Canis lupus familiaris: one gene and its partners. The protein of the gene in region 4 interacts with the protein of the main gene of each other region in a pairwise test. Links are inferred from orthologs where the notes say so. Each region holds a gene or a part of one and is shown on either strand. Other genes may lie near its edges.

The links.
Region 1: the proteins of EMILIN1 (region 4) and BEX3 interact in binary tests that used the Homo sapiens proteins (3 or more experiments, as listed by UniProt). The two-hybrid records come from large-scale screens. The link is inferred for Canis lupus familiaris from reciprocal best matches to the Homo sapiens genes EMILIN1 and BEX3.
Region 2: the proteins of EMILIN1 (region 4) and PLAC9 interact in binary tests that used the Homo sapiens proteins (3 or more experiments, as listed by UniProt). The two-hybrid records come from large-scale screens. The link is inferred for Canis lupus familiaris from reciprocal best matches to the Homo sapiens genes EMILIN1 and PLAC9.
Region 3: the proteins of EMILIN1 (region 4) and BEX5 interact in binary tests that used the Homo sapiens proteins (3 or more experiments, as listed by UniProt). The two-hybrid records come from large-scale screens. The link is inferred for Canis lupus familiaris from reciprocal best matches to the Homo sapiens genes EMILIN1 and BEX5.

The regions. Positions count from the first base shown.
Region 1 is NC_049260.1:77,301,382-77,306,441, reverse strand, and holds BEX3 (protein BEX3), read right to left. Parts: upstream 2,825-5,060; 5' UTR 2,472-2,824; intron 2,093-2,471; 5' UTR 2,008-2,092; intron 1,754-2,007; 5' UTR 1,648-1,753; coding exon 1,309-1,647; 3' UTR 1,060-1,308; downstream 1-1,059. UniProt on the Homo sapiens protein: May be a signaling adapter molecule involved in NGFR/p75NTR-mediated apoptosis induced by NGF. Plays a role in zinc-triggered neuronal death.
Region 2 is NC_049225.1:30,002,620-30,006,208, reverse strand, and holds the end of PLAC9 (placenta-specific protein 9), read left to right. Parts: intron 1-1,254; coding exon 1,255-1,378; intron 1,379-1,793; coding exon 1,794-1,840; 3' UTR 1,841-2,566; downstream 2,567-3,589.
Region 3 is NC_049260.1:76,327,753-76,333,166, reverse strand, and holds BEX5 (protein BEX5), read left to right. Parts: upstream 1-1,720; 5' UTR 1,721-1,913; intron 1,914-2,349; exon of another isoform or gene 2,350-2,465; intron 2,466-2,981; 5' UTR 2,982-3,047; intron 3,048-3,331; 5' UTR 3,332-3,359; coding exon 3,360-3,698; 3' UTR 3,699-4,850; downstream 4,851-5,414.
Region 4 is NC_049238.1:21,138,157-21,142,067, forward strand, and holds part of EMILIN1 (EMILIN-1), read left to right. Parts: intron 1-60; coding exon 61-281; intron 282-1,402; coding exon 1,403-3,340; intron 3,341-3,710; coding exon 3,711-3,827; intron 3,828-3,911. UniProt on the Homo sapiens protein: Involved in elastic and collagen fibers formation. It is required for EFEMP2 deposition into the extracellular matrix, and collagen network assembly and cross-linking via protein-lysine 6-oxidase/LOX activity.

The DNA of each region.
Region 1 (5,060 bases), on a different chromosome or scaffold from region 4:
TTCATGTTTCAGGTATGGAAGGGATAAAAATGGGAGTGTTTCAGCTTTAAAATTTGTCCCAATATAATTTAGACATCTTCTGGGTAAGTCTGTTAAACTGGTTGGGTAGGCCTGCCCAGACTCTCTTTTGAGAAAATAGCCCCAAAGGGTAAAGACACAGGCAAAACAAAGCTTTCAGCCTATTTGCGTTTTGGAGGTTTGAAGTAGTGCAATTCTAGACACACCAGGGTGAGACATCTAGATATGTCTCCTAAGCTAGACCCCAGTGCATTTGTGTGAGTTCTTTGGAGAAGAGGGGCACAAAAATAATACCAAAAAGGGCTATTTTGTTAGGAACCAACAAAAGACAAAGAACCATGTGAATGGTACTCACTTGGATAAATATAACTTTAAAGTGGGGAGAAAGATCTGCTCCAGACTTCTACAGGAGTCAAACCGGACAGGGTTTAGCTCACTAGGGACTCAAGAGAAATCAATGCACTTTTCTTACCTTGAGGACAGAATCAGAACCCAGAAGGGAAAGTACACCTGACACGGCAATAATCAGGGGAGAAGTACTGCAAATATCAGAGGAATGACAAGGTGGAAGCCATCTATTTTTGCCCTTTGGGCTTGTCAGCATGGTGAAAACTCCCTTTAGTCCTTCCCAAGTACCTGACAGACCTGGATAGGAGGCAGCCCAACAGTTTCACACCTCATCTATTCCACTCAGCTGCCCTGGAAGGCAAGCATTATTCCTCCTCACAGGAAAGAAGATTGACTCTTAAAAGCAATGTACCTGTAACAAACGGAGGGTTTATTCATCCAGTTAAAACTGGAAAATTCTTAAAGTTGACTCTTAAAGTTTGTTGAACCAGTATTATATACCTATACTATATTTACACTCCTTGAAAAACTGTTTTTGCTACTAAAACTTCAGATAATAAAAAGAAAAAAGTTACATAGTATTCAACTACAGAGAAACGTGACCCAATTAACACCCTGGAGCATCTGATTTCTGATTTTTTGAGGGGGGGTCATATTATACATATGCTTTTAAATGAGACAATAATAAATGTATAGATTGCTTTTTAATTGCTTTATTAACTTTACACTTTTCCATGCAATTGGGTGACTCTACTGTTGACAGAAACTTAGACTGAGTGCCAAGGCAATCCCCATTTGGAATCTGGTAATACAGAACCCACCTGACACATGGAAATTACATGCGGTTCACAGCAAATGGATCAGTAAAGGTTATCAGGAAAAGGCAAGGAAAAAAAAAAACAATGTGAGTCACAGTATTAATCTCATGGAAAATGGCAGGAGTCAAGGCATAAGGCAAAATTCATCATGATGATCATGGTGATTAGAGAGCTCCCCCATCAGGATACGCAGGCAATTCCTCAACTGCAGCTCCCTAAGTTTTCTCCTGATTTCCCTCATCTCCTCCATGAACATTTCCATATCATCCCCATCTCCACCCATCCCATCATTGACCTGCCTATTGGGGATGGCCCATCGGAAATTAGGAGCAAGTCGACGAGCCTGTCCCCGTCTATTATTTCCTGCAGGTTGGTGGCCTTCTCCCCCTCCCAAAGGGCGGTCTTCCTCTCCATTCTGCATGGGTTGCTCCATTTCTTCGTTTTCCTGGTGGATATTTGCCATGAGATTTTTTTTCCTGGTTGGTTTTCTTTGAACACAAATAAGACAAAGGCAAGGAGAGAGACTGAAAGCTTGGTGTACTGAGCAGCAGGCTCCAGAGATCTGGTACCTAACGTTTAAAAAAAAAAAAATTCCCACCTTAGGAGCTTCAGGCGTCCTCTAGGGGGCCTCCGAATCGAGCCCCTCCCTCCCGCTCTCTCCTTTACCCTCCCTCCCCCAAAGCCCACCATTTTTCCTTTCCCAGGATTCTTTCCCCAAGCTCCGCAGGCACCAAAATGGAGGTGGGGGACAGGGGATGACGTACATGGGAGGAGTCACAAACTCGGCTCTGCACCCGACCCCCACTCTGTCCCCCGCACCGACCTGGGCCTATCCTTGCTGTCTCCTCCTTCTCCCGATTCTCGCCGTGTGGGCGTCGCTGCGACAGTTGACACCTAGGCTCGCAGTCCTGCAAAGGGCCAGCGTGGAGGGAGGGGGGGTGTTGCGAAGCGTTTGGCGCCGACCTGCCACCACCTGGTTCCTTCCGGGTCCCGGGCCCCCCTGGCCGCCCCCTTAAACCCCATCTCCGGCTCTCAACCCTAGCGTCCCCCCACCCCGCCCGGAAGGTTCACTATTTTCCTGCAGGTACTCGGGGGTGATTTCCAGTTGCTCTTAGTTGCTCTGCTGCCCACCCAGCCGCCCCAGCACCCCCACCCCAGGGGGCCACTACGGATGTTCCCAAGAATGCCGGGGGTGGAGAAAGCTGCTGCGCTGATCCAATGAGCCAGCTTCGAAAGTAGGCGGACCGCTGCCGCCCTGGCCTCGCGCACCGGCCCCGGAGCCCTTACCTGCTCCGCTTTCCTCGGGCCTGACGCCAGCCCGCGGGGCGCAGGACACCGGGGAGCAGGTACCCAGACGGGAGTGACGACTGCACCGAAGGCTGCGTCGCTCTGCAGCTCCACGTCACGTGAGCGCCTCACGTCACCATGGAGCTCGCCCCCCAAATCTAGCTGCTTGTGCGGCGCGCCTACCCGCCCCCACGCCTCGCCTCACGCACAGGCGTAGGCAACCCCCTTAGCCGGTTTCTGCACTGAGCCCCAGCGCGCACCGCCGTGTCACTCAGCTTGGTCCTCTACAATTTGAGGCCCGAAAAACGCCTCACCTCCCAGCGGAGGGAGTGTAAACTTCTCAGGAAGGTAACTTCTCAGGTTACCCGGGAGGGTCTGCAATACCCTTCATCCCTCCCACTCCCGCCCCAGGCCTTGAGTTTGAGTTGTTTCGCTTTCTCTTCCTTTCTCGCTGGCCGCACCCCCTCTTTCCCTCATCCACCCTCAGGTGCGCCACCACCGTTGCCCATTGCGTCCCCTGAATTCAGATCCTTCCAGGAAATTTAGAATGAAGGCTGGGGTGGGAAGGGAGCAGGAGTCCTATTAGAGAGGCAAGGAGACAGAGTGAATTCTTCCAAAGAATTTCTCTTTCATTTCCTTTTTTAAAAAAAACCAGCATGCCTCAAAAAATTAAAAATTGCGAGATTTCACTTTTGAAAGAAATGCTTCATCTTGCGGGATGAAAAAGCCTCATTTTTAAAAATTATGCTCGTATCACACAAAATATCTTCTCTGAGTTCCACATGACATTAATATCGCTTTTGAAACACATATCTTGTTTCAAATTTCTATTTTGAAAAAAAAGAGGCATCTTTATGAACATAGTTGGTATTTTCAAAATGATCTGTAAAGTAAATCTTTAGGGAGAAGTCCAGTTGTCAGATATTGGCCTTTTAATGTAAATTTGCGATGTTTTTGATACCATAGTCTTTGAAGAAAAGGAGCCTTTTTACACCCTGCTTTCCTTTACAAACTTTCAAAAACCTCCCCTAACAAATATCTTCGTAGAATGATCACAAGTATACCATATGCAGACGTTAGTTCCAAAGCCATCTGCCTTTTGATGTAAATGTTTCAAAAAATAATAGAAATAAACAGGGTGTATATGAAGCAACTAAACTTGAGACTGAAATTCACCTGGAGTGTAAATGTTCCTGTCTCCACTTTAAAGTAACTAAACAGATTTTATCATAGTTAGAAAACAGATGTCTTTAGGAAAGCGGCATTCATAATAAAAAAAAATTTAGTAAGCGTTGGTTGTGATAAAGGAACCAGAAGAGTTATATGCACTGAAGCAAGACAGGCCAGACAAATGCTTACTGCCTCTGGTTTGGGTTCCAAACTCCTGTGTAATCTCCTACCCTGCTAAATTAGCTGGGACATTGAATAAATGAAGAATATATGCCTAGTGCATACATAGTTTGAGCTTTTTATGCTTTGAAGATATTTTGAGGTATAGCTTGTTAAAAAACAAAATTCAGCCAAGTAAATTTGAAGATTTAATTGAATTTATTAAATGATCCATGAATCAAGAAGCATCCCATCTAGCAAGTGGAGGAGAACTCCACAAAGACTACAGGAAAGGAAAGGTTTTTAAGGGCAGGACAAGGAAGTCATAAACAGAAAAAAAAGGATTATTTCACCTGTAGTTACCTTCATTTGGAGACATGAGGGTTCGTACATGGATTACCTGATTTTGCTTTGGTGGAATGCAGAGGGTTCATGTGACAGAATTACCTTACTGATGCTGACTAGTTAAAGGTTACATTCCTAGGTGGTCAAAACTGCAGTTAGGTTAGATATTAACTTGGTTTGCTACTAACTTGGGGCCTTAACCAAAGTGATGCCATTTGGGGCCTGTGGTTTTCTTTTTAACAAGTTCCAAAAGCTCAATCACACCCAAAATTGTCTTTTAAAGGAGTAGTGATTCTTGAATTCTGTTTCACAGTTTGCAACTCTTCATGCAGATAGTTCTATTAATGACACTGGCTGCAAGGATGCTTATTGAAAGCATGAGCTGTGGTATCAGGCATATCTGGGTTTAAATCATATCTGCTACATACTTGAAGTGTGGCTTTGGGTCAATTACTTTTCAAGGTCTTTGTGCTTCCTCTGTGAAACAGGGATTGTAGAAGTAAATTACATATATTAAGTACTTACCACAGAACCTAATAAATTTTCAATAAAAGCTGGCTCTTTTTTTACCATTATTAGATGGTTTCTAACAAGATTTGAAGAATAGGCAGAGCATAATTCTTTCCTTAGCTGAATCCACTTTTCTTTAAAATCCATGAGGGCCCAAAACATATCTGCTTTATTCTACTTTGCAGACCCAATGACTTATAAAGTTCCTTGTACAAAGTGGGTGATTAGTGAATATTTGTTGACTGAATGCATCCACTAGTAAGGCTAACTAGTTGCTTTTCATTCAGTAGGCTGTATTGCTCTAAGCTTTTATAGCAATACAAAAAAAGCTTTTATGAAAATTAAGAATTACATAGAAAGAATCCCTTGAAAGTAGGAAAGCACTATGATTTAACTATTGGATAT
Region 2 (3,589 bases), on a different chromosome or scaffold from region 4:
ACAGGCAGAGGGAGAAGCAGGCTCCAGGAACCGGGAGCCCAACGTGGGACTTGATCCCGGGTCTCCAGGATCGCGCCCTGGGCCAAAGGCAGGCGCCAAACCGCTGCGCCACCCAGGGATCCCAAGATTTAGTTTTTAGCCCTTGAATGAGATTTTAACGCAATAGGAGTCTTCGGAAATCCTACGTGCTTTTTTTTTTTTTTTTTTTCCAATTAAAGTGTTTTTCGGAGAGGGGGGATCTGTGCGTCTCCCCAGGCTGGTTTTTTTTTTTTTTTTTTTTTTTTTTTTTTTATGATAGTCACAGAGAGAGAGAGAGGCAGAGACACAGGCAGAGGGAGAAGCAGGCTCCATGCATCGGGAGCCCGACGTGGGATTCGATCCCGGGTCTCCAGGATCGCGCCCTGGGCCAAAGGCAGGCGCCAAACCGCTGCGCCACCCAGGGATCCCCCCAGGCTGCTTAATGGGGTTGTTCACCACGGAGTGAGGACCCTCCCGCCCCAAGCGGTCCGAAATCCCAAGCCTGTCATTTGGCGGAGCTGCCACCAGGGGGCGGGGCGACAAAAGGAATGTGCGCTCGCAGGGGGGTGGGGGTGGGGAATCCCCGGGGAACTGAGGGGCCGCGAACTAGGAGGCCCCAGGCCCCCTGGCGCTCAGTTCTCCCCTCCTGGGTCGCTGCGGGCTCCTTGGGATGTGACCAATGAAGCAAGACTCCGCACCGCCCTCGCGCCCCGCTCCTCCCTGCTCCCCCCTCCCCCCCTCCTCCCTGTTCCCCCCTCCCCTCGCTTCTCCCCGCTCCTCCCCCTTCCTCCCCGCTCCTCCCCGCTCCTCCCCGCTCCTCCCCGCTCCTCCCCCTTCCTCCCCGCTCCTCCCCCTTCCTCCCTCTTCCTCCCCCTTCCTGCTCCTCCCCGCTCCTCCCCCTTCCTCCCTCTTCCTCCCCTTCCTCCCTGCTCCTCCCCGCTCCTCCCCCTTCCTCCCCGCTCCTCCCCTTCCTCCCTCTTCCTCCTCCTTCCTCCCCACTCCTCCCTGCTCCTCCCCCTTCCTCCCCGCTCCTCCCCTTCCTCCCTCTTCCTCCTCCTTCCTCCTCGCTCCTCCCCGCTTCTCCCCGCTCCTCCCCCTTCCTCCTCGTTCCTCCCCGCTTCTCCCCGCTCCTCCCTGTTCCTCCCCGTTCCTCCCCGTTCCTCCCCGCTCCTCCCCGCTCCTCCCCGCTCCTCCCGCCTCCCTGCGCCCCTGCCCGGCTCCCATCTCTGGTTCCAGACGGTGGAGAAGACGGTGGAGCATCTGGAGGCCGAAGTGAAAGGCTTGCTGGGTCAGCTGGAGGAGCTGGCCTGGAACCTGCCCCCGGGGCCCTTCAGCCCCACGCCCGACCTCCTCGGAGACGGTGAGCTGCTGGCCTGGCAGAGGGGACAGCCTCGGGCTGGGGATGGGTGCCCGCCGGGGCGGAGGGGACCGGCACCCCCAGCTCAGCCCCACCTGGGCACTGCAGCCTGGCACCTGGTCGGGCTTCTGGAAGAGCTGGTGCAGGTTGCCCAGGGCCCACTTCACACCCTCCGGACACGGAGCTGCTGCCTCGTCCCCGGGCCATGTGCCCCCCTTAAAGCTCTTGGGCTCCTTTCAGGTCCCTTGCAAGAAACCCCTCCTGCGCCACTACAAAACCCTCTAATGGGCATCAGGGGGGCTGCCTCCGCTCCCTCCCTGTGCCCTGTGATCCCTGGCATGGGAGTTGGGGGGGCACTGGGAGGGGTGGGGGAGGGCAGGGGACTTTCAGTGCCCCTGAGCTGCCCCTTCCCTTTCAGATCACTTTGGAGCACTGGAGCCAGAGCCACCCAGCAGCTGGAAGTGACACCTTGTGGAACAGCCATCCTCTGAGAGCAGAACCCTGCATCCTGGCCTGCCTTCCTCAACTTTGTGCAAAATTAGAGCTACTCCCTTGGTCCCCGCTGCATCCGCTGCCCGTGACCCCTATAGCCACAGCCCCTTCTTCATCCAGTCCCACCCTTGAGGCTACAGCCTCCTGCAGGTGCAGACCTGCAGACCCTCGGGGGGGGGGGTGTGCTTCTGCCCTCCTCATTTATAGGGGCACACAGGGTGGAGTTGGTTCACAGGTGAGGCAGCTGAGGCCCGGGATGGTATGGTGACAGGTGCACACGCCCTCAGAGTAGCCTCCCCACTCAAAATGTGGCCACTGATGAGCAGCAGTGGCATGACCTGGGAGCCCGTCAGAAATGCAGAATTGTGGGGCCCAACCCAGACCTCCTGATCAGGATCCACGGTCCAGTGAGATTCCCCAGGGCATAGATGTGCAAATTTGTGTGCAATTTTTTACAGTTCCCTACTGAGGTATAATTCACACAACATAAATTTCAAAATGTTTAACCATTTAAAACCACATAAAGTCAGTGGCTTCACATAGTTGTACGCTGATTCCAGAACATTTTCATCATCCCCCAAAGAAACCCCGTACCTATAAGCAGTCACTTCCCATTCCTCCTCCCACCATCCCTCAGATATGCTTGTCTCTATGGACTTGCCTATTCTGGACATTTCATATAAATGGAATCATACAGTATGTGGCCTTTGTGTCAAGCTTTTTTCTCCACTGAGCATAGTGTTTTCCATGTCGGAGCACGATCACTGCTTGATTCCCTTTCGCAGCTGGTGATAGTCCGTCGTATGGCTGTGCCACATTTTACTCAGGCATCAGTCGATGGCCATTTGGCTTGTTTGCACGTTCTGGCTATTATGAATAGTGCTATGAATATTAGGCACAAGTTTTTGTGGGGACATGTTTTCTTTTCTCTTGGGTCTATAACTAGGGATGGAATTGCTGAGTCAAACACGGATTCCATGTTTAAGTTTCTAAGGAACCACCAGACTGTTCTCTATACCACTTTACGCTCCCACCAACAGTATGTATTTAAGGTTTTTGATTTTTCCACATTTCACCAGCTGTCCTTTTGATTATAGCCATCATACTAGGTGGGAAGTGGTAACTCACTGTGGTTTTTTTTTTTTTCCCACTATGGTTTTAAGTTGCATTTGTCTAATCATGATGAGCATCTTTGCTTGTGTTTTCTTGGCCATTTGTCTTTTTTGGAGAAATGTCTATTCAAGTCCTTTGCCCATTTTTAAAACTGTGTTGTCTTTTTGTTGTTGAGTGGTTAAGAGATCTTTATGTATTGTGGATACATAAAGGCTTTTATCAGATCTATGACTTGCAAATATTTTGTCCCATTCTGTGGACTGTCTCTATACTTTGACAGTATCTCTCGAAATACAAAAGTTTAATCTTGATGAAGTCCTATTAACTATTTGTTGTTGTTGTTTCCTATGCTTTTGGTGTCATATCAGAATCCATTGCCAAATCCAAGGTCATGAATATTTATTCCTGTTTCCTTCTAAGATTTTTATAGCATTAGCTGTTACCTTTAGTTCTTTGATCTACTTTGGATTGTTTTTTGTATATGGTGTGAGGTGGGTCTTCAACTTCATCCTTTTGTTTGTGGATGTGCAGTTGTCCCTGCATTATTTGTTGAAGAGAGTATTCTTATCTCATCAAATGGTTCTGGTACCCTTGTCAAAAATCAGTCAG
Region 3 (5,414 bases), on a different chromosome or scaffold from region 4:
CTGTCAGAGATGTTAACATTCCTCAGGGTAATATCTACCAATAAATAACCCAGGCCTGTGGATAAACACTCCAGTTTCCCATCACTAAATGGGATAATTCTGAGGGGCGTTCTACATGCTTTAAACTTAGAGGGTCCCCAGCAGGATTGAGCCAGTTGCCTTTGGCCATGTCTGACTCTGGTGCTATACATTTTTTAATTAATTAAATTATTTATTTGAGTGAGACAGAAATCGTGACAGAGAGAGAGCAAAAACAGGGAGGAGAGAGAGAAGCAAGCTCCCCACTGAGCAGGGAGCTCCACACCTGGCTCAATCCCAGGACCCTGAAATCACGACCTGAGCTGAAGACAGACGCTTAATCAACTGAGCCACCCAGGCGCCCCTGGTGCTATATTTTTAATGAACGTTTTCATCCTAGGATTATATACAAAATAACATTTGTTATATACTATTTTCAATGGTTTCACGTCCTTTAATCTAGATATTTCATGTCTGTATTTAACAGGAAAAAGACACTTCAATATTTTTTCTGAATAGCTGACCAATGATCTCAGCACCATTCCTTCAGTAATCTAACCTCTCCCTGCTAATTCCAAGTATTTCAATCAGATTTCTAATATTTCTCCATATTTGGGATTGATAATGGCCTTCTCTACTATTTATTTGTTCTATATTTATTCTGCCATAATATTGTTTTTTTTTAAATTTTTATTTATTTATGATAGTCACACAGAGAGAGAGTGAGGCAGAGACACAGGCAGAGGGAGAAGCAGGCTCCATGCACCGGAAGCCCGACGTGGGATTCGATCCCGGGTCTCCAGCATCGCGCCCTGGGCCAAAGGCAGGCGCTAAACCACTGCGCCACCCAGGGATCCCTATTCTGCCATACTATTGTGTTAATATTATAGCTTCACAATACTCTGTATCTGTCAGCATAACTTTCCCAAATTATTATTCTGGATCGTTGGAAGACCTCAGTGCTGTTCTATTTTAGAGGCCATGGTAGAGTTTTGTAAAGTGAATTTGCAGTAATATAATTTAGGAGAGACCGTAAGTTTGTCACAGGCTCTCCAGATAGGAAAATCCACCAGCAAGACTCAGAGCCTCACCTCCTGGGAAGACCTCACAGAGACCCTTCACAAAGGCAACCATCAGCTTAGGTTTTTAATTTAAAGTCCTTAAAAGGGAGATGATGTCTGAAGGGTCTGTACTATTAGGGTGATTCTGCAGGAGAAGGAGGTTATCAAGACTTTACAACTCGAATCCTACTTTTCAACTGAAAATAATTGTATTGTCTAATTATAACAACCAAAAATGGAATGCATGCTAATGGGAAACAAAAAAATTAATCATCCTTTCCCTTAAAAAAATAAAATAAACGGAAATAAAGTAAAAAATAATTATGTCACTTTCTGTGTATTTTCCAGACTTCCTTCCATTGCTGTTAAGGGTAATTTTGGGTTTTATTTGCTGGGGAGTTGGACAGGAGAGAAGTGGGCAATTAAAGGTTTAAAAAAGAATTATTTCAAAGCTGCAGCAGAAATCAGGGGAAAGGCAAATATAAACTACAAAATATCATGATGCATTTGGTTTTAAAGACTTCTAAACAGGAAAAAAACATAGAGATGGGTTGTAGTGGGGAGAAGGCAGGGATGAAGAAAAAGGTGGCCCCGCCCACACTCCCGCCCCCACCCTCTTGCCGCAATGCAGGTGGGAACCATAATTGGGTATCTGAGCTCAGAGTGACGTGGCCCTTACGAGACCTGGAGCTGACGCGTGGGTTAGCGTCTCCTCCTAGTTGCAGTCTGGTTGTCCTTTGTGGCTGTGCGCCGGCACGCTATTGCCTTGAAGGCAGGCGAGCCTGTAGCACCGGGAAGGAGGAAGTCGTAGAAGCTGACCCTGATCGGTTGCAGGTTAGTGGGCGCTGACTGGGGTGGCAGAGGGCTAAGACCGGAGAGGGATTGGATTCTCTCGACCTTTTTACCCAATACCCATTTATATGGTGCAAGAAATGGACGGCTTGGTGGGAGGAGATCGAGAGGGGCCAAGAGTTGGAAATGGGTACCAGTTAGGATGTCCTAGGAGTGCAGATCTCTTGGGCGATCCGGCGTCTGGAAGGGAAGAGCCAGGGCAGGGGACAGCGAGGAAAAAGCCTGATTGTTGCAGGGCGACGGGACGGGGTTGCAACCATTGACCCTGGGGATGACGGACTCCGCCACGGGTCTAGGCCTCGGTTCCGGAATCGGTTCTCCACCTCCGTCCATTTTGGAGCGGGAAATGGTGGGCTGCGGCAAACGGGGGGGAGGGGGTGGAGATGATGGTTGCTGCAGAGGATATGGACAGGGATTAGGTCCGGGAAACACTTCCCTTCTGCGGAGGAGGTAATCGAGAGGAAGCTTTCTGACTCAGGGATCTGGTCGGGAGCAAGAAAGGTGTAAGCCTGGGCGCTGCCTGCGGACCCTGGGGTAAGCAAGACAAAGCGCTTAGACATCAGCGGGTCCAGGTTTGCAATACCCACGCTACCTCTTCGCTCTTCGTCCATTTTGATTCATAAAATGGTGGGCAGTGAAAGGAGGGTGAGTTCCAGAAAGTCTAATGGGCCCCAACTACATTGAAATTTTTTATAAATAAACCAGGTCACCATCCAGCAAGCTGTTTTGACTCCCCTGCCCAGCAAGTTGTCCATTTGCATTCAAGAAATGCTAATCAGGTGACGGGAGGGCTGAGGCGGAGGTAAAGGGGCCTAAAGAAGAGGTGAAACTGGTTGGAAATAATAATCTTTGATTACAATGCCTATTTCTGGAGGGCGGAGTAGTGCATTGCAGGACAGGAGAAGAAACCGTGATACAGGATGGAGGAAAAAGAGAAGGTGGCAACCTTTGATTAACGGATTCCTAAATCAGCAACAGAGCAGGTGCCCCCCAATACTGGTCCTTTAATCAAGTGAACAGTCCTGGCCATCGTCGCATTTTTGTCTGCAGGTCTCTGGGTCCGTTGGTGCAGCAGATTTCAAAGCAAAGAGAAAACGACTACTTCTGAGCCTGCAGGTAAGTGGCTGCTTGGGGTCCTCTGGTTTAGGGTTTATCGGGGATCATGACAGAATCTGGGAAACTCACTGCCCTTCCAGCCGGAGTTAAAGTGCAAGAGGTGCAAGGAGTGGCCTAAGGAAAAATTGATGGGGAAAATGGTGAGCTTTGGAGCTGGGCTGGGTCTGGGGCGTCCCCTAGAGGGTGCACGAAGTTTCTCAGATGAGAGAAAACCTTTTCTGACAGAGCTCTGACTCCTGTTGTTACAAAGTATTACATCCTTTTTCTTGCTTTTTATCTCCTAGGAAGAGTAAGCAGGAAAAAAATCTCAACATGGAAAATGTCCCCCAGGAAAGCAAAGGAGAGGAGCAGGCTCCAATGCAGAATGAAGAAGCCCACCCTTTGGAAGGTGGTGAAGGCCAGGAGCCTGGAGAAAATATTAGAGCCGATTGGGCCCCGCCTGCCCATGATGTGAGAGAGGATATGCCCAATAGGCTTGTCAATAACCTTGACATGATAGATGGAGATGCAGATGATATGGAACGGTTCATGGAGGAGATGAGAGAGCTAAGGAGGAAAATTAGGGAGCTTCAGTTGAGGTACAGTTTGCGCATTCTTATAGGGGATCCCCCTCACCATGACCATCATGATGAGTTTTGCCTTATGCCTTGAATGCTGAGGTTAGTAATAATAAACTCCCTGCCTCCCAAAGTTGCATTTTCTTTATGTACCCTTTACTGTGAATCTGTGATGTTCTGTAATTTTTCTGATTGGAGAATTCATTTGACTTAGTCTGAAAGTTTTTCTGTCAGCGGGGGAGTTTCACCAACTTGCATGGAAAGATGTTTAGTACATAGTGTGAAGGTAATAAAGCAGTTTAAAAACCAGTCTATAAATACACTATCTCATTTAAAAGCATGCATAATATATGTGTGTGTATCAGAATGTTTCTTCTTTAACTTTTCTTGATTACTTATTTTTTCTCATTTTTCCAAAATGAATACATATGTATTATACATGTCAGGCAAAAAGTAAGAGGCAAAGAACTTGCCAATTGACTTATAAAGGGAATGGAGACAATCATTAAATGCTTCAGACACAATTTAAAGACACATGAATCTTCTATTACCTCTTATAATATAATCTCTTACTTGGAAGCACGAACCTGGTCATTATTACAGATATGTTTCTTTATAGTCAGCCTATTAATCTATGAATGAAGATAACATGCACACTCTCTAGGTGCTCTTCATATTTAGAGAAGGGCCCAAAAAGTATGTCTATCATCAAGTCTAAATGCCAAGTGGGTGACACCTTTTTTTTTAAGATTGTATTTGTTTGAGAGAGAGTACAAACGGGGAGGGGCAGAGGGACAAGTAAGTAGACTCCCTGCTGAACAGGGAGCCCAGCATGGGGCTCCACCCCTGGAGCCTTAGCTGGTCAGACACCTGACTGAGCCACCTAGGCACCCCTGGGTGACACCTTTCTATACTTAGGCTTCTGTGTCTCCCTTCTCTAGATAATGCCTTGACTGCTAAGCACTCTTTCCCCTTCTCCCTTCCTTTTGGCTCCCTGTGCTGGTCCCCACCACTACTGATGTGCTAGAGTACTAAAGGTGACAAAGACCTACTGATTTCTCTTGAACCATCAATGATCTGAATTCCCATTTTGCCCTTTCAGAAATGTGGAGAATGCCCTTCCTGCTTTGTAGTTATTCTTAATCCAAGCGAGTACTCCCCCAGTGCTGCTTAGGGATCCAAATAGCCCTTTTGTTTTTTCTCAGACTTTCTTCTTTATCCCCTAATAAAATCTGAGTGACATTCATTATAGTGTATTCAAAATTAAACTCTCTTTTCCATCCTCTGATGAATATGGCCTGTTTCCTTGGCTTTCCATTTTCTGTGGAGACCCTGCTACAGGTTTCACTCTGCACATACACAGGTGTGGGGGTGGCTTTATGTTTATACCATTCTAACCCCAGAATCCCCAGTAGTCTACTCACACTAACCTACATGAATCCAAAGGAGTTTCCCTCTGCCTTTGCTTTGATTTTTGCTGTACCCAATAAACCTATAATTACAGAACAATGGGAAACTGGCTGAGACTAGAGACCTAGTAAGTGGACCCTTGTCTTAGAGTATTTTCAATCACCCAGTCATCACTGGTCCCAAGTAGACTGTGCCTTTCTCATAGTAAATATATTATCCAATTTGTCCTGATACCCTCGATGCCTAGCATAGGAACTGGTAAGTTGTAGGGCACAACAATTATAGCTGAGTCAAGAGTCCTGCAATCTGGGCAATCTGGTTTGCCTCTGATCATTTATGGACAAGTAACTTCTTTTCCCTACAGAATGTAGTTTGCAATTGAAAAAACAATAGAGAAAGC
Region 4 (3,911 bases):
AGGATGCAGGGCCACTAACAGAACAGGGAAGAGTAAAGAAGCCTCCTCTGCCTCTCCCAGGTACCGCAGCTTCCTCCGCCCTCGCTACCGAGTGGCCTACAAGACTGTGTCGGATATGGAGTGGAGGTGCTGTCAGGGGTATGGGGGCGATGACTGTGCTGAGGGTCCCGCCCCAGCGCTGGGTCCTGCACCTACCACCCCACGCCCCCGGCCCCGGCCCGCCCGCCCCAACCTCTCTGGCTCCAGCGCAGGAAGCCACCTGAGTGGACTAGGCGGGGAAGGTGAGTAGGGGAGCCTCTGGGGGGAGAAGTGGGAGCTGGTGCTGGCTGGAAAATGAGGGGCCAGGCTGCTGAGGGAAAAACTCCATGCTCCCAGTCAGAAGAAGGGGACAGAAGGGAGTGAGATCCCTGAGATTCTCTGCCTGCGCATGTGTGTGAATGTGTGTGTGTGTGTGTGTGTGTGTGCGCGAATGTGTGAGTCAGATAGAAACCGAGATTGCGAGAGATCAAGAGAAAAAGAAGGCAGAGCAAGAGAATGTGCTCACACACGCCCACATGTGGCTGAGATACTTCCTACTTGAGAACGGCTGCAGGAGGAAGGGGGAATTCCTTCGAGAAGTTTGGTCACCAAGGGATTAGACAGTTCAGACTACAAGTCCTAGAATGCACTGCACTCAACTACAGGTCCCAGGCCCCTCAGGGGCCTCTGGAGACTGCAGGTCCCAGAATGCAGCGGTCCCCATGGCCTTCCTGCTTGCACGCGCCCTGGGCACTGCGGATGTGCTGTGTTTGTCTGCCAGGGAGATAGTCATGCTGTAATGATGGAAACAGGAACTTCTGGCTGACTCTCCCACTATCCAGCTCGAGCCCCTGCAGCCTTCCCGTGGAACCTTGTCTGTCCCTGTGGTGTTATGGAGAGATGTTGCTCAGGAATAGCCACTGTTGTGGGGTCCACTGTGCCTCCCCATACTCCCATTTCACAGATAAGCAAACAACTTCTGAGACCTACTCTGGACAGTAGACTTGCTGGTCAGATTGATGAGCTGGGTTTGAAACTTGTCTCTGCCACTTATGAAACTTGTAATCTATGGCCAAGTTCCCTAATCTCCTCTGGTTCTCTTTCTCACAGTCAACAAAATGGGAAACGCTGTGATATCTATCCAGTGGAGTCTTATAAGGGAGGGAAAGCCATGGTACAATTTTGGCCTAGAGGCATTTAGTAAATGGAGGTTCCCCCTGTCTTGTCTTTGCCCAAATTACCCAGCTAACAGTGGCCAAATCAGCTAGGACCTCGTGTCGGAGCTGGGGAGAGCAGGGCCTAGGAGGCCTATAGGCCCTGCAAGGAGGGCTCACTGAGTTCTGAGGTCCAGCCACTCTGTCTGATGCCTTCCCCTCTCTGCCAGGTCCTGGGGACTCAGAGAAGGTACAACAGCTGGAGGAGCAGGTGCAGAGCCTGACAAAGGAGCTGCAGGGTCTCCGAGGTGTCCTGCAGGGACTGAGTGGGCGCCTGGCGGAAGACGTCCAGAGGGCCGTGGAGACGGCCATCAACGGGAGGCAGCAGCCGGCAGATGCAGCTGCCCGTCCTGGCGTGCACGAAACCCTCAGTGAGATCCAGCAGCAGCTGCAGCTCCTGGACAACCGTGTCTCCACCCATGACCAGGAGCTGGGCCATCTCAACAACCATCACACCGGAGGTGGCGGTGGCAGTGGCAGTGGCGGTAGCCGGGCCCTGGACCCCGCCCCGGCCCCTCCGGGCCACAGTGAGGAGCTGCTGCGGGAACTGGAGCGGCGGCTGCAGGAGTCCTGCTCCGTGTGCCTGGCGGGGCTCGATGGCTTCCGCCGGCAGCAACAGGAGGATCGCGAGCGGCTGCGGGCACTGGAGAAGCTCCTGGCCTCCGTGGAAGAGCGGCAGCGGCAGCTCCCCGGGCAGGCTGTGGGCCGCAGGCCCCTTCAGGAGTGCTGCCCTCCCGAGCTGGGCCGGCGGCTAGCCGAGCTGGAGCGGAGGCTGGATGTCGTGGCCGGCTCCGTGACAGTGCTGAGCGGGCGGCGAGGCACCGAGCTGGGGGGAGCGGCTGGGCAGGGGGGCCACCCCCCAGGCTACACCAGCTTAGCGTCCCGCCTTTCTCGCCTGGAGGACCAATTCAACTCCACTCTGGGCCCCTCAGAGGAACAGGAGGAGGGCTGGCCTGGGCGTCCTGGGGGCCTGGGCCACTGGCTGCCTGCTGCCCGGGGCCGACTAGAAAGGCTGGAGGGACTATTGGCCAATGTGAGCAGGGAGCTGGGTGGGCGGCTGGATCTGCTGGAAGAGCAGGTGGCAGGGGCTGTGCAGGCATGTGGGCAGCTCTGCTCTGGGGCCCCCGGGGAGCAGGACTCCCAGGTCAGTGAGATCCTCAGTGCCTTGGAGCGCAGGGTGCTAGACAGCGAGGGGCAGCTGCGTCTAGTGGGCTCAGGCCTGCACAAGGTGGGAGCAGCCGGGGAAGCCCAGCAGGCTGCACTGGAGAGACTGCAAGGGGTTGTGGGCCAGCTCCAGGGTCGTGTCGATGCGCAGGACGAGACACTTGCAGAGTTTGCACTGCAGCTGAATCTCACAGCAGCACGGCTGGGCCAACTGGAGGGACTACTGCAGGCCCGTGGGGATGAGGGCTGTGGGGCCTGTGGTGGTGTCCAGGAGGAGCTGGGCCGCCTTCGAGATGGTGTGGAGCGCTGCTCCTGCCCCCTGCTCCCCCCACGGGGCCCCGGGGCTGGCCCAGGTGTTGGGGGACCAAGCAGAGGGCCTCTGGATGGCTTCAGTGTGTTTGGGGGGAGCTCTGGCTCAGCCCTACAGGCCCTGCAAGGAGAGCTCTCTGAGGTTATTCTCACCTTCAGCTCTCTCAATGACTCACTGCATGAGCTCCAGACCACTGTGGAGGGCCAGGGGGCTGATCTGGCTGACCTTGGAGCCACCAAGGACCGTATCATCTCGGAGATTAACAGGCTGCAGCAAGAGGCCACAGAGCATGCTACGGAGAGTGAGGAGCGCTTCCGAGGCCTGGAAGAGGGACAGGCACAGGCTGGCCAGTGCCCCAGCCTAGAGGGGCGATTGGGCCGCCTTGAAGGAGTCTGTGAGCGGTTGGACACGGTGGCTGGGGGACTGCAGGGCCTACGAGAGGGCCTTTCCAGACATGTAGCTGGGCTCTGGGCTGGGCTACGGGAAACCAACAGCACCAGCCAGACACAGGCAGCCTTGCTAGAGAAGCTGCTGGGGGGGCAGGCGGGCCTGGGCAGGCGGCTCAGTGCCCTTAACAGCTCCGTGCTGCTCCTGGAGGATCAGCTTCACCAGCTCAGTCTGAAGGACCTCACTGGTGAGGGGGCACTGGTGCAGTGGGAGGTGGGGGGACCCCTTTCTGGTCCTTTCTTTTTCCTCTCCCCCTCCACAACAGCCAGCCATAACCTTATATACTTTCTCCTTATTCTACCCAGCATGAATTGCAGGCCCACCAATGTCCCGGGGGTTGGTGTGTCCATAAGAGATGATCCAAGCTCCTAGCTCCCCACTCTCCCCTGGCAGCTCAGACAGGACAGTGGTTGGGGGTGGGGTGCTGCCCTGCCAGCCAGGTATCCAGCATGGGCAGCCCCATGGGCCCCATGCACCTGCCCATGGAGCCACAACCTTCTTTGTCCTTTGGAAACTGTTTTTATGGCTTCCCTTCAACTTAATTTTTATCACCGTAGGGCCCCCGGGTGAGGCCGGGCCCCCAGGGCCTCCTGGGATACAGGGACCCCCAGGCCCTGCTGGACCTTCAGGACCTCCAGGCAAGGATGGACAAAGAGGACCCATCGGGCCACCAGGTATGTGAGCTGAGATCCATACTGCAGTCAGGGCTCCCCCACATCTCTAGCAGCCCTAGGCTTGACATTCGTTCCATTCTGGAT